Linked DNA regions of Drosophila melanogaster. The protein of the gene in region 2 interacts with the protein of the main gene of each other region in a pairwise test. Each region holds a gene or a part of one and is shown on either strand. Other genes may lie near its edges.

Region 1 (7,018 bases), 3.2 Mb from region 2:
AGATCAACTGGCAACCAGAATGCCATGCGATGCAGATCGATTCCTGGATACTATCTATTTTTGATGAATTTGTTGCCTAGAGCATGAGATTCCACTAATAAACAAAAACAAAAAAAAACACACCCACAAACACAGACAATTATATAGCTATAGTTATATAAAATGGAATTTTATAATGAATCCCACACAGAGAATAGAACAAACAGCATGGATTGTAAAAACAAATTATATATGTATACATGTGAAGCCGTATGAATCAAATATAAAGTACTGCTATACAACATAATTACTAAAAAAAACAAAAACAAAAACTGAAGCTAAGTGAAATTATACATACATACATGCATATTATATACAAACACACACACAAGCCCACATACAAATATATAAACGTTAAATAAATGAAAAGTACAATACACTTGCATATTGATTTATTGTTTAATTTGGCTGCGGAAAATAAATAATGTAATTGATCGAAATCGGGATGAAAAAAATAGAATTTCTTTAGGTTTTTAATATTACATTTTGTTTATTAAATTGAAGTTGGAATGAAATTAATAATGGAAATAAACTTAATAAGGTAGCTTCAATAAAAAAATAGATAATCGTCAAATTTCATTCTAAAATAATTTGCGCTTTGACTTAGAATTAATTTTCAACAACACCTTTAGAAATAAATCACTAAATACAATTATCAAATGGACTTCAATTTCAGTTCGTTTATTTTGAAGTTAATTAACGATATTAATTTATTAGTAATTCATTACGCTAAAGGCTTCCAAATATTATGATTTTTTTCAGTAACCAAAAGAAAAGGACACAAATCAAAAATTCAAAATTACACTTACAACTGATTAAACTAGACCTATTTTAAATTAAACCTTTGAAGGCTTTAATTCAATAACTTTTATATAACCACAAAATATCAAAATATAGAACAGGAACAAAAAAAAAAATCCAATGCATGTACAAAGAATCTAATGATTCGTTCAAAGGAGCTGGTACTTTCCCAGATCGGCATCCCTGCCGTTCATCAAATATGCGTTGATGGCAATCTGGCTGAGCACCTGCACACCACATTTGTGAAGATACTCCATGTCCTGGGTCGACAGCGGCGCCTTCTTCACATCGACAAAACAATGGCTGGCACTTTTGGCCACAGGATCTTTGGAGAACGGAGTTGTTGGCTCCAGGATGCAAGCGCCGCCGGCACGCAGCACATTCCTGATGGGCGCCCCGCTCCTCTCGTTCATGCTGAGTATAACCCGGTGATCGGAGAAGGCGCCACCGCCGCACGCACTCAACTCCGTGCGCCAACGGTGGACGGCGGCAGCGATGGGCTCCTCCTCCGGTGCCAGGGTGGGCAAGTTAATGGCCTTCGGGTTGCCCCATTCGTACAGCGTTTCGTCCAGAAAGTCGCCACGCGCATGCGACTGTTCGATATACTGGATATTTAGTATCCATTTCCCGGCCGCAATGCAGGCCAGCATCTTCTCGCCGCGATTCGGACGCTCGCACAGCAGATGGGTGCAGCTATCGTCATAGTTCACCAGATTCTCGCACACTTTTCCGCCCAGTTGGGTGATCCGCGCGATTAGTTCCGCCCGCTTTTCGTCATCATCACCGCACGAGATGCTGAAGCACGGTATGCCAGCATACTGCATCTTGGGCGAACCGCCAGAGGATCTTCTCTTTGCCGCATTGAACTCCGCCGGATCGCGCCAGTCGACCATGTCCTCGGTGCCCAGGGCGAAGCCCTCGGACTCGAAGGGCTGCACATACTGCACCTCGCTCTCGCCGCAATCCATGTCGTTGTCGTGGCTACGCTTCAGACTGTTCCTTCGCGATTCGCAGTTCTTTAGATAGTCGGTGATTTGCTTGACATCTGGCGCCACTGTGGGAACATCTGGGGCCAATACGGGCACGGCCGACTCCTCGAAGCTAATCTTGTCAAAGTTAATAGTGCTCTGACCTTCCTCGCTTAACGTTGGACCATCTGAACGCCGTGGCGGCGCTGCTTCGATTGGACTCTGTGTGTTCGGTACGAAGGGTGATTGCGTTCCGCTGCGGGGTGAACCCATGGACACCCGGAGTGGCGTCTTTTTACCTAGCGATAGCTTCGGTGTTTTCGGTGATCTATCAAAGTTGAGTTTGGTGGCCTGCGTCGTCCTGGTTGGCGGCTTCTTCTTTACCGTTGATGGCGATTCCGATAGCGTTGGCGTCTTAGCATTACTTTCTTCATATTCGATGCCCAGAGTTTCGCATGTGATCCGCATCACGCGCTGCCTGATGACGGCCAACGGTGTGTCTGGTTTGATTTTCATGGTGGGTAGGCGCCAGCGCCGCTCAAAATCATCGGCCATCCGCTGCTGGAACTCGGGAGTGAGACAAAAATCTGGAATTCCCGGTGCTGGTCGTTGATGCTTACGACTGACGGGCGTGCAGGCCTGCCGTCGAATGCGTTCCAATTCCGGCGTTTGATTCTCGCGCATTTCACGGATAATCTCGCGCACACAATCCTTGCCCTCTTCTGTATCCAGGCGTTGAACGAATTGCTCTAGGAAGTCCAGATTGTACTGCTGGGCACCCACCTGGCTAAGTGGCGTGCATGGTGAGTCCGGAGAAGATGTGGAGTTGCTGCCACGATGAAGAGCACTGCCTCCTGGTATTCCAGCTAGCTCGGAAACTCTCTTGTTGCGCAGGGGCGTCAGTTCAGGAGCTCCTGGACTGCCAGCAGTAACTGGTGTGACAGATCCCGCCGGTTGGTTCTCGGCCTCCTCCATGGTTACATCCGGTTGAGCCACCAATGTGGATTCATTCGGTCTTCTTGCTGTCCGGCTATTGCTGTCCCGCAAGCGTGGCGATATGGGGAAATCCTCGGGACTCTTGCCCACCAAATATCCAACGAAGGGCAGCTTCTGACCAGTGCGGGCGCACTGCACCAGCCAATCGGATGTGACTACGGGATAGTTCCATTTGATGGCACCTTCATACTTGGAGCCCTCGGCACTGGGACACACCAGCAGCGGTTTCTCCTTCTTGATGAATGTCTTATTGACGGAGGCGCCAAGTAGTTCTGCTGTCGCATTAATAAAGTCCCGCTCCAATCCTGCATAAATGGATACGACAATAGTCATTCCCTTAAGCGGCTGACGCAGTGCGGTAGCCGGCACATGTTTGTGGTAATATTCGATGGGCAGCAGTTGATTCTTTTTCATACAGCTTTCCAGGAACAGTTCGGTGACCACATGGCGGGCCTTGACGGGTAATTGCTTCACATCGAAGGCTACCTCAAAGCTGACAATGGCGAAATCCACTTCATCGGAGAAACTCGATGGCACCAATAAGCCTTGGGCAGCTTCGCATTCGGTTAGCATTTGGTTGAAGAACTCCTCGTTGAAACACTCCCTGTGCACATAAACAGAGACACCGGCGAAGTAGTCCAGCTTATCGAAATCAATGGATAGAGTGCTGGCACTGAGATCCGGCAATTGCAAACCCTCAGCGGGTGGTTTTGGATTGGCTACCGAGACTCGCTGGCGTATATCCATTTGGGTGGAACTTGCCGCTGGTTGAAGGAGACTAACATCTGCCGGTGGCAGTTGTGCCACTGCTCCTTGATCCTGTGAGTACTGATCCAGCAGCGTATGATCCGGCTCCTCGTGCTCCTGTTCCTGCACGGGATCCGGTTCCTGATCGAAAAGCTTCTTCTTGATGGGCAATGTTGGCTGCTTGAAGCTGTGGTTCATGGAGCGCAGTGTTCGCTTGCTGGCAGGAGAGGCAACGTCTGGTTCTCGATTCTGTGGCATCGACACACGATGCACCAACTCACTGACCACGCGACCAGCTCGAATGCTCTCCAGCAGCCAATCTAGGCGCACCACATGAACTGAACCCATGAGACCATCGCGCTGCCACTGTCGGTATTCGGCGTCATCCAGTTGGCCCACAATGATGTGTGAGATGCCCTCATTGGCCTCATCGTAGCGGGTCGCTCCGCCCGTATTCAGCACTCTGTTTAGCTTCTCACGCTCCTCTGAGCGGAAGCCACTCAAATACACACAGCAGCCATCCAGAAAGGCGCCCGCTTTTTTCGCCTGACGCGGTTCAATCTCGGCCAGCACCTGCTGGTAGTTGCGGCCACTGCTAGTCGCCTGCTTGAGCAGCTGCTTGGCGGGCGAACTGCTGCCCACACTGCTGACGGATTCGTTGACGGTACTAAGATCGCTGCACATGCGACGCGAGCCGGAGACGAAGCTGATACGTGAGAGATCCGAGAGGTGCGTTTGATCTGCACCGGGAGCTGCGCCCGGACGAGTGGTCTTGGTGGGTGTGGACGACGTCTTGCCAGGCCGCACCTCATAGTCCTTTGTGGGCAGAGCGTAGCCGCGATTGCAGCTATCGAAGATCCATTCCGGCAGCAAGACATCCTTCTTGTAGCGTATGGCTGCCTTATACTTCTCGGTGTCCGTTTTTGTTTGCTCGGTGATGACGATGTCCACCACCTGGGAGCGAAAGGCACGATGATAGATGCCTCCATTATCGTTGACCAGCCGCATAACTTGATCCTTGCGCGCCACATCCAATCCACTGCACGTGATATTCGCACCAAAGAAAATGGGCAGGCGATACTTATCGAAATCAGGATCCGTGGCCATGATGCCCTCGCGCTGGCTGCGACGACTCTGATCCCAGACGTACTGCACCCAGTCGACGTGCATTACGGGTACTCCGTTCAGCGTTGCCTGCTCGTACTTGCTGGACTTGATGGTGTTCGAAATGAGGTGGGTGGTGCGATGCCCGAAGCTTTGAAAGTATATGCCGCCCATCCAGTTTATGAGCCTGCTCAATTCCTCTTTCTTCTGTGGTGTTATGCCCGTGGCCGAGACCTGCAGATCCCGCATGGCCGTGCTGTAGATGGCACTGCTGCCCTCGGGAATGGGTTCATTGCGCCGCAGGCAGGTGATGAGGCACGGTGGCCCCAGAATTAGTGCTCGCGTCTGCTGCAATTGCTCGAAGAATTCGCCCTCGAACTGGGTCAGCACAAAGACGTCCTTCTTGGTAAGGTTACCGGCTGCGATCAGGGGATATCCTTCGCTTGGCTTTATTTGCCGGATCTGCGTTTCCGCCAACTGTTGGCCCAGTAGCTCCCGCGCCGCCTCGAATTGCTGCAGTGTGTCGGCCTCCTGGACGCCACCGTCGCCCGGCTTCAGATTGTTCACGAAGTACGCGCAGATGGTCTCGTCCATGCTCATGCTTATGCTCATGATGGCGGTTGCGAGTGTGTTCTCTGCTCCGTGATGCGCTGCAAAATTGCCGTGATTTTCGCACTGCACTTTTTTTCGCGTACGCTATTTTGGCGCCGTTTGTTATTGCCTTCAAACCGTTGGCAACGCTGGCTTGTGATTAGTTGGCAACTACGAGTTGAGCTATGTGGCAACGCCGACGGCGAATTAAAAAATAATGTGTATGGGTAATTTTAATTATTTATCTCTAAGATGTAAGGATTTTTTATTTACTTTTTATCAAATAAATAAAATATTTCGAAAATAAGCAGTTATTTATCAGTTTTGGTTTAAGCTATCGATATATTTCATTAAGCGAAATATCGATATCCACGTCGTCGACGGCAGCTCAGCCCTAAAAGAAAGGAAGAAAGAAGAAAGGAAAGGCAAATCAGAAATAATCAAGACATTGACCAACTTGTACTATTGCTAGTTTTGTGGACACAGGATCCAACACTTGAAGGCGACCACAGCTTTCGCACACTCACACACACACAGCGGCCATTTTCCGCCGAACAAGTGAAATGCCAACATGCCATTGTATGTGTGGTGGTGACCAACTGAAATAGAATAATAAACTAAACCAAAGCGAAGAGAAAACGTAGGCCAAGAGCTATATTGGATCTGTGTCACAGTTTTCCATAGCACCAACCTATCAAATGGGCAACTTTGTGAGCAGACAGAACGCGGCGGTGGAGGAGGCCGATCCGAGCACGAACAATGCCTACAAGTATCCACCGAGAATGGGTAACTTCTTTGGCACCCACTTCATCATGGGCGGCGAGCGCTTCGACACGCCCCAACCGGAATCGTACTTGTTTGGCGAGAATGCGGATCTCAATTTCCTGGGCAATCGACCCACAGCCTTTCCGTATCCCCCGCCGCAGGCCAATGAACCGACGAAGACCCTGAAGAGTCTGGTCAACATTCGCAAGGAGTCGGTGCGTTTCGTCAAGACGATGAACGACAAGAAGCTGGGCGGTGTACTCGAGAAGCCCAAGATGAAGGAGATTGATCGGGACTTGGATCTGGACAAGGAGAAGTCCAACGTGACCATCGAGGATGTGGATGGAAATGTGCTCTGCTCGATGGGTTTGGGTGGCGGTGATGCCGATATGACGCCCCCACCGCCGCCCTGCTCTTACAACATCGAGTTTACCTTTGACTCGGACGCCAAGTGCGCCATTACCATTTACTATTTCTGCTCGGAGGATGTCAGTCCCAGCGGCGTGACACTGGTGCCGCGCGAGGGTCTCACCTCGGAGACGTACCACTACGAGAAGGGCATCAATCAGTGCTTCTCGCAGCCGAGCCATGTCTTCAATCCGCAGCAGATGCCCGAGGATGAACTGGGCTATAGTCCCGGCCGTGAACAGTATCCCGTGGCCATTCACTGTGTGGTGGAGGAGGGCAGCGACGAGTGTCGGCAATCGCACACCACCATCTGTGTGATCGATCATCATCCGGAAAACGGCAGCTATGTGCTGCGTGCATTGAAGCAAAAGATCTTTGTGGATGGCTTGTGCTACCTGCTACAGGAGATCTATGGCATCGAGAACAAGGCCGTGAACAAAACGTCTCTGGACGAGGAGATCGACGATCATGGCAGCGAGTGTGTTATTTGCATGAGTGAGACGAGGGATACGCTCATCCTGCCCTGCCGCCATCTCTGTTTGTGCAATTCATGCGCGGATTCGCTGCGCTATCAGGCCAACAATTGTCCCATTTGTCGC
Region 2 (4,268 bases):
TATAATGCACATAGAGTGAGCAGCTAACATTATCTTTTAGTAATCATAATGTTTACGGATCATAGATACATTAGGCTCTAAAAATCCAAATATTTGTCAACTCACGAGTTTGTTGTATTTCACGTACCCCAACGAACTTATGCATAGTGTACTTTATTTATTACCATAACTAAAAGATCTTGAGAGGCTTTTATTTATTTAGCCCAATTTTCGGACTTATCGCCTGGATTGATCGATTAATTTGGTTATTGATTCTTCTGCGAAAGTCAAAGGGAAAAGCGCATCCAATCGGAGAATGTGTGTCGGCTGTCTTAATATGTTTATAATTGACTTAATTGCCAAACAATTAAGAACAGCAACAAAATGTGTCAAACGATGGAAAGAGAGAGAGAGAGAGGGAAGAGCGGTGGAGAGATGGAGCGAAGAAGCGCAACAGGTGACACCTGTCCCGCTCGCACAGTCTATCGCTAAATGGGAGCGATAAGCAGTTAGAAGCGAAATATATGTGTGTCAAAAATTATCATACATACAAATGTGTACACAGCCATAGTGGTTTTATAAATTTAGGAAAAAATATCATTATATTGCATAAAACGCATAGGTGGCAAAAACACTAAATTAAAATATAATACAAATATATAAACATATACTAACGAAATGTTTTTAAACATTTCAAAGTATAATGATTAAAATTCACAATGTTATCAATATTGCCGTATTTCGCATTATTTATATTTGATTTATTGTAGATATTACTATTATTTGGCACATAGCTGTCACTAAAAATTATCAGCCAACTAACACAGACACACAGCCCGTATGTAAACACGGATTGATTAGAACGCATTGAAGAGAGAAGAGACCATTGAAAATCGAAGCCCGCAGAAAAAGAGATCGCAAAGAAACTGCGGCTTTCAAATAAAAATAATAAAAATCGCTTTTACCTTTCGCTTTTTCCTTGTTAAAAATTTCGTATGCAGTTTCTGCGTGGTCAACTTAACTTCGTTTTATATTCACAACACACACAAACACAACCAGAGCACAACAATAAAAAACGAAAACAAAGAGTGTGAGAGAGAGGGAGAGAGCGGTGGGCGAAAAGCAAAGTCTCTGCTAAATTGCTAAGCTGATTTCCCACACATATCGATATTGCACTGATATTTTACTGCCGCAACTAGTTGACACATTTCCACAAACATTTCGGCCCAGTTTACTAATATTTGTTTATTTATTTATTATTCTTGCGGAATGAATCACTTGCGGAATGTTTCACACACACATACGCGCGCGTACGCATTGTTTGCATCTGTCTCTCTCTCTCGCGCGATCGATGTCTTTTTTTGTTGTTGTCTCCAAAAGGGAACAACAACTATTCGCTAAACAGAAGTTGACAATTCGCGGATGGAAAAGTCATGACCAGAACAAGATTCTTTGTTTTTGTCCCCAATGCCCGCTTTCCGAACCGGATTTTCCGATCCGAACGATCTGCGACCGATCGAAGAATACAAATGCATAATGTAATATAACGGGGCGCGCCTAGTGTGACCGTTGGCGGAAAGACAGCGAATGCCGGCAAAACTAGTTACTAAACTAGTAGCTAGGATACAAGTTATTAATTTTAGTTATATGTAATAATGTAAATTTTAATACTAACGTTCTTTCCATATAACTGAAACATTTTATATCAATAGTTAACTGAATATTATCTCGGCATGAATGCCAGATTTAAGTTTTTTGCCACAGCAACTGGAATTTACCGGATTTTTAAATTTTAAAGCAGCGCCCACGGTAAAATCAGTAAAGCACTTTAACTATAGTGTAATCATTTAAGTAAATTTGTACGTATAAGGAATTGGAATTGGAAGGAATTTGTTTTCTATTTAAAAAACGATATATACCGCACTGCCAGCTATCGATAGCAAATAATCGGCTGGTCGTGATTAAATGTAAAAATTACTTCCACGCTCTGGTAACACTGCATTGTATACCAGAAAAAAATGGTATTAGCATTAGCAGAGAAAAAATCAAATAAATAAAGAAAAAATCAATTAAAAGTGCGCCATTCCAAAGGATTATCCCAAAAGACGCGATCATCCATATCAGATGCTTAAGAATCGGCCGGAAAATCCGACATCGAACTATTAGGCTAGTGAAAAAGTGCAAAATAAACATTCGCCCAGTGGAGGGGGCCATACAGAAAACACTCGAGAGTCTTTCGAAAATACACATATTATACCACACGGATCGTTTTGGATCTACAATGGCCACCAGCGAGATCTCGAGCTCCAATGAGCGGCACTACTACGCCAAACTGGAGGCCATCAAGGACATCAGGGACAAGACGCTGTCGCTGGAGAAGCTCAAAGTGCGGATCATCAAGGAGGTGAAGCTGAGCGACGACGAGGAGAAGTGCCTGGAGGAGTACCGCAAGGAGATGGAGCACCTGCTCGAGGAGAAGATGTCGCACGTGGAAGAGCTGCGCCAGATCCACGCGGACATCAACGACATGGAGAACATCATCAAGCAGACGAAGGAGAACCAGACCCGCTCCTTCGACATGGCCAACCGGGTGTACGAGGAGTACCTGGCCCTGAAGTACCAGATTGATCACATGCGCCGCGACTATCTCGGACTAAGCCCGCTGCGAGATCTGCACGAGGAGGAGGGCAGTCCCATTTCGAAGGATCGCTTCCAGACCAACTTCCTTAAGGTGGCCGCCCAGTCGGCGGCAGCAGCAGCTGCTGCAGCTGCGGCGGCGGCCTCGGTTAATCAGAACTCGTCGTTGGCCCGTCCGCATGCCCGGCATCCTCTGATGCCGGAGGCCACGGTCACCGCGCTGCCTTCTGGCGGCGGACAGGGCGGCGTTGGTGGTGGCGGCGCTGCAGGCGGTGGCGGAGGATCTGTGGGCGGCGGAGGCGGTGGTGGCGGCAATCCTGGACACGCCTTCATGCCACCCGCACCGCCGGGAGCAGGCAGTGCTGCTGCCGCCGCCGCTGCTGCTGCAGTGCGTCTGGGCAAGGGTGACTTCTCAGCACCACCGCCACCGCCGCCGCCCAGCAATCGACTGCAGCAATCGCCTTCGATCGGCATCGGCCACCATCCCTCGTTCCGCTCCGACTTCAATGTGAATCTCCGCCAGCAGCCGCCGCCCATGAAGTCCTGTCTGTCCTGCCACCAGCAGATCCACCGGAACGCGCCCATCTGTCCGCTCTGCAAGGCCAAGTCGCGCTCCCGCAATCCGAAGAAGCCCAAGAAGAAGAACAACTAAGTGGCCACCGCTCCAGACCAGCAACTACACTCATCTTAAGTCCGGAGCTGGTTCCGGAAACTCAGCGCACTAAATCGAATGCGTTTTTTTTTTTTTGCCTCATCTATTTATTATTAATCCCAATGAAAAGTATTACAACGACGCAAGGCGGGTGTGCTCATGATTATCGGAGAAGATTTAAAAGAATGTCAAATACTTGCATTAATATTTTATACATTACTAGTGTATTTGAAAATCGATGAAGAAATTATTCATGACACGCCGGCCGCTAACAAATTCTCATAACAATTTTAGTTGGTAAACTCAATGAATTTGATTTTTATTTTAACTATAATCATAGGCTAAGTATTTTTTAAAAGCTCAAATAACGTGTCAAATTATCGAGAACAAAAATTTTGTTTATACATGTAAGCCATGCTAAATATGCAACTATGTTATATTTAAGCAGCAAAAAAAAAACACAAATATCAATAAAAATATTTCATTTTTAAATGGGTTCTTTTGGTTATAGATTAAATTATTTGGATTATTGGATTTGATTTTATATGTGTGTATTTTAATACAATAACTATAACTGATGTTTATATACTTGCATTATATTTTATACATTTTACATTTGCCATACATCGTTTGTGAACTAAAGAGTATTGTAGATATACAACGTACTAAAATTTAGATCCATGGTATTTTGGCCTGTCCCTGCACTTGGTCACACCTAGCTTAAGCCGAGCAAAAAGTTCGGATTTTTATTCAATTTTTTAATCCAGCCCGCAAAACAACAAATTCGTATTGTTTCAAATTGTTTCAATTGCAATTTTAGTGAAACATAGCAACAACCAGTTCAAATTGAACGCATCAGTGCACTTGGTTTTCTTTTTTTTTTTTGTTTTTGTGGATCAGTTTGTCGTTTTTGTTCTTGTTGTCGCTGCGTGCGTAGAATTTGTGAAAAGAGAAAGTTCTGCGCCGCGTCTTTCTCCGCCTCTCTTTCTCCAATTCTTCG
Region 3 (4,627 bases), on a different chromosome or scaffold from region 2:
CCACAGATCTCTCGCTCCCACTTCTACTCAGCACTCCCTCTCACTCCTCCCACTCAACGCCCTCGTCAGTATCGCGCACTCCCTCCCACCGACAGAGATGGCTAATAAACCGAAAGGCAGGCTGATGGAAATTATAAAGTGCAGGCTCGTCTGTTCTCACAGGAATTCTTAAAATGTAAATTTAATGAGCAAAAAATTAGAAGATATCTCCGCGAGCAGATCCCCCAACCCAAAGATGGTAAAGAGAAAATTTACTAGCCACCAATTAAAGGAGCGGGGAGCGTCTGGTGTCAACTGGCTCGTTTTGACGGACAGGGCCCCATAAACATGTCAGAAAGGCTTGCGCATTTTTTACACGCATCTTCAGCACCTCCGCGAGGTGCTCCTCCCTACCAATCCGAGTAAATTGCAGGGAAAATACTTTATTTAGTTAGTCCGGCGTATTGGAAATCACAGCGCAACGAGCTGCCAATAAAAAGTTGCGCGCAGAATGGTTAAGCTTTTTATGCTGTCCCCAACACTAAACACAGTGGTTGCTGGAGGATGTCTCCTCTGTTTTAATACTGCTATAGTTGTAGCTTCTTGTTTGCAGTAATATTGTGTGACAACTATTTCTGCTCGTAGCTACTTTGTTGGCCAGTTGACAGTGGAGCAAGTGCTGAAAATGAATACGTTCTGCCAGCTTACTGAAGTCTTAAAGTCCATCTTCACCATTATTCAATAATTACTGAATACTACAAGGAAAAGATAAGTCTTAACAATTTATTATTGTTATGTTTTCCAATTATAATCTTGAAAACGATAAAACCCATAAAGCAATATAATTTCTTAAACTTTAAAGTCTAGTTACTACACGACTATTATTACTATTTATATGTACATATATTCTTAACAATATTTTGTCGTTGTGCAATTGACTTGGTTCTTTTAACCAGAATAGCAGTCGCGGCCTATTAAATTCCAATTTTCTTGACACCCTGCTTCCGAAATATTTTCGCCACTTCGCGCCCAATAAATACCACAGTAATGCGCTATATTAAGTGGACGGTGTGCAAAAACCCAGCTGCAGGGGCAGAAAAAAGGAAAGAGACTACTTCCAAGATACTTTTGTCCGGGACAGTGTCCGACAAACAACAACAAAATGCCAAAGCCAAAAGTAAAAATGTTTCCCATACGGTTTATTTACACAAAATGTCAGAAGTTTACGTCCAAGGGAGGGGAGCTGATCGAGGTGGAAAATGGTTGTGGGGGCGGGGAAACCCGGAGAGTGCCAGTACCAGTGCCAGTACCAGTTCGAGTGCGAGTACCAGGTGCTGCCAGACAAACAGGCGTTCAATGGCCAACGGATGGACAAACGCAACCATTTTGGGATAATAATGCAGCGGCAACAACAAACTGCGCGCCCAAGGAGGTGAGAACATAATGTAAAGACACTGCCGCAGTGGGAGTGGGCGTGCGCGAGAGCGGGATGGCGACAGTGTAGACAAACCGGTTGTGGCCGCTGGCCAATCAGAGGTCGTGAGGCGTTACGCGGCGACGCCGACGCCGACTGCGCAGCGGCAAGGCTGGAGAAGAGGAAGAACACGGGCCAACTAACGGCAACTGGTTTCCATTTGGCTTCAGTTGGATTTCTGCAGCGCGTACGTGCGGGTGTCCTGTGTCGAGCGAGCGAGAGAGTTTTAGAGAGAAGGAGAGCGAGCGAGCTGTCAGCTGATCCGAGCTTTACCGTTTTACCGACGCGCAAATACAATTCCCAACCGATTATCACCGATACCGAGTGATCTTTGCATGTGCCAACATTGAAACACAAGCGAAAGTGAGGTTATGAGTGCCCCCTAGTGCCAAATTAGTCTAAACCAAAACCAAAACAAAACACAAACGAGCTGCAGATGGAAAGCAACGCATTTGGCAGCAGCCATTTGCCGTCCCAAGCGCTCGTTGTCCTCTCGGAAGCCGCTTCCGGTCTGCACGAGGCTCTACGTGGACAACGTCCGTTTCCATCGAGAGTAAGTAGAGCCCAGAAACTCAACCTCAGCCCAAACCATCCGGACAGCCGCTGATTGGAATCGCCCAGCCGATCGATTCTGATCGGACGGAGAGGGGACATATTTATGACAAATCATAAAGACTGGGGGCCGGTAGCCGAAATGCCGAAAGATGCCATAAATCAGCACACCGCTAGCGAGGCAAAGGAATCGCGAAACGGCGGCCAAAACCCCAACAGCAAGCAAAACAATGCTGCATTGTAAAACAACAAATCCGACCAGAAGTTCCAAGTGAACTTCCAGTTGGCGATGCGCCTAGGGATGACAGCGTGATTGCCGATCATGCACTCAATTAAGGATCCATTACGTAGAGAGAAAGTGAGGAGAAAGCTGTGAGAGCTCGTTTAAGTGCAGTGTATAATGTGAGCTACTTTATTTAGATGGAGCATAGGTTAAAATGGAGTTATTATATATAATATGTACATAAAGGAAGCCAGTATCCTTGTTCAAAATGATAGATCTCATAATGTTAATTTACAAAAAAAAAAAAGAAACAACTACAACGATAATCAAATTTTCGGTATCTGGACCCTAAATTGAACATAGTTTGAATGAACTTCTCCATTGAGAGAATATGGGTGTTTTTATTTCGCGTTCCTATTTAAAGCAAAGATAAAAGCTCTATAGGAACACTTCTAAATAGTTCAATAGTCGAATTTTTCCATCCTCTCATACAATTTCTGTTCTTTCCTATATCCCAAAAGAACTGCCCGATCACGATCGCATTTCCAATGCGGCAGTCAGTCAAGAGGCAGATTCAGAGAGTTCGTCTTCGCATTCCGATCGGCGAATGCGTTTGCAAACGCCCCATTGTGTGTAGATTTTTGCGACGAACAGATTTATGATAGCTTCAATTCCGAACTGCGAGTCGGGCCTGATGGAGTGGAAGTGGAAGCGGGCCGCAGTTAACTACTGGCCCGATTCCGATTCCAGTCCCAATACCGATCCCACAGAGCAGACCCATTTGATTTGGCTGGAAGTCGATTCCCGGCCAGCTTCTGCTCATTCTGCTGCCTGTCATCATTGTAAACATGAGCAATGATCTTGACGCTGATGCTACAAATGATGAAGAACTCGGGCGCTGATGATGTTCGAACAGTCCGCTTGGCGAAACTGGTTATTCCGATCGGAGCTGCAGTCCGAATAGGAACGTACATATGTATCTCTGCCCTGCATAGCATTGAGTAGCGTTAAGATATGTTAAACATGACAACAATATGTCCTCGGCGTTCAGATGCGAGTTGGGTTGTGAGGAACCGATTTTCGCCACGGAAGACAGTGGAAAAGCAGGAATATCGCTTAGAAAGATCAAGTATTTACCTTGCTTTTGAGGAATTCTTGTCGCGAAACAGGGCCTATATTGATACCTATCAAGTTTTAGCCGCCTCAATGTCACTTAAATATTTTCAATAAAGTTCTTAATAAATAATCATCATAAAATGCAATACTAGATATAGGTTTAAATCTGTTATATAAGAAGAACAAGAAGTAAATTTTTACTTTTCAATATCTTTAAATATCTTTTAGCATACATACATCTTCAGCTAGCTTTCTCTGCATTCCATAGCTGAGTATTAGTTTCTTCAGCTTTCTTTGCCATTTCTTCTTCCAATGACGATTCCTTCTAAGGCCACTGCACAAGTCGCTTATCTAGCATAATTTATGAAACCGATTACAATTGGGCATGGGGCAAACCATAAAAATTAATAAAAACAAGCCGAGCGAGCATATTAAAAGCAATGTCAAATGGTTTAATATGGGCCTGCTTCCAGTGGAACTGCCTCCTCCACTCCTCCACTCCGCTTGCCAACGAACCTTCAACCACCGACCTGATTGTTTGGGTGGGTGAAGGGCAGCGGAAAAGAAACCCACCAGGCACCATAACAATTCTGTAACCACGACGGCAGCAGGAACAACAAAAGGTAAACAGACTGACCCCTTCAGAAAATGGCAGTCAAGTTGGGTTGGGCAGAGTTATGGCACTGAGGCGGGCCAACATATGAAAAATAATTCATTTTTTTGCCACTTATTGCCACTAAGTATGAGTAGTTGAGTTGTGTTGCATATGCGAGTGTGTGTCTCTATATTTATCTGTGTGTGTGTGTGTGTGTGTGTCTGAGCCTAATTTAATTTATGGCAATTTATCAGGAAGGCAGCTAGGAACCAAGCAGCGAAATGCGGAGGCAGCGAGGCGTTTAACCAGCAGTACTTACTACCAAATGGAGTATTATGTCCAAATGGTCAGTGATAGTTAGCCAAGAGAATTCCAACAGAATGTAGAGATAGGGAGAGGTGATATCATGTTCCTTACAAGCGGTTTCTTATTTGAAATGAACATATGTATGTACAAATACATGAATTAAGGAAAATATCAATATCAAAAAAGAAATTTGCAAGTGTTAAAGTCGTATCACCTAATTGAAAACCCCAACTCAGTTATGAAGTTAGAAATGGTGTTGTTTTGAGTTGGTCACAGCAACTTTATTTTATCACCAGGCGAATTAATATCGGGACCGTTTTATTTTTGGGTTAAATCATATGAACTTAACCATCAAATCGGAATAATCCTCATATATAAATAG

Evidence for each region. Proteins that work in one complex are often made in the same cells at the same time.
Region 1: the proteins of CG13001 (region 2) and mus101 interact in a two-hybrid assay, tested with the Drosophila melanogaster proteins (one large-scale study listed by BioGRID).
Region 3: the proteins of CG13001 (region 2) and tey interact in a two-hybrid assay, tested with the Drosophila melanogaster proteins (one large-scale study listed by BioGRID).

The regions. Positions count from the first base shown.
Region 1 is NC_004354.4:13,720,603-13,727,620, reverse strand, and holds mus101 (mutagen-sensitive 101), read right to left. Parts: upstream 5,376-7,018; 5' UTR 5,268-5,375; coding exon 990-5,267; 3' UTR 508-989; downstream 1-507. Other genes in the region: Mrgn1 (mahogunin ring finger 1), read left to right, coding at 5,945-7,018.
Region 2 is NC_004354.4:16,940,575-16,944,842, reverse strand, and holds CG13001 (uncharacterized protein), read left to right. Parts: upstream 1-1,971; 5' UTR 1,972-2,260; coding exon 2,261-3,268; 3' UTR 3,269-3,757; downstream 3,758-4,268.
Region 3 is NT_037436.4:19,660,658-19,665,284, reverse strand, and holds the start of tey (teyrha-meyrha), read left to right. Parts: upstream 1-1,620; 5' UTR 1,621-1,889; coding exon 1,890-2,006; intron 2,007-4,627. UniProt on the Drosophila melanogaster protein: Required for the correct synaptic targeting of motoneurons RP5 and V to muscle 12 (M12). May be involved in the negative regulation of Tl in M12. Involved in the correct patterning of veins in the proximal (costal) region of the wing blade.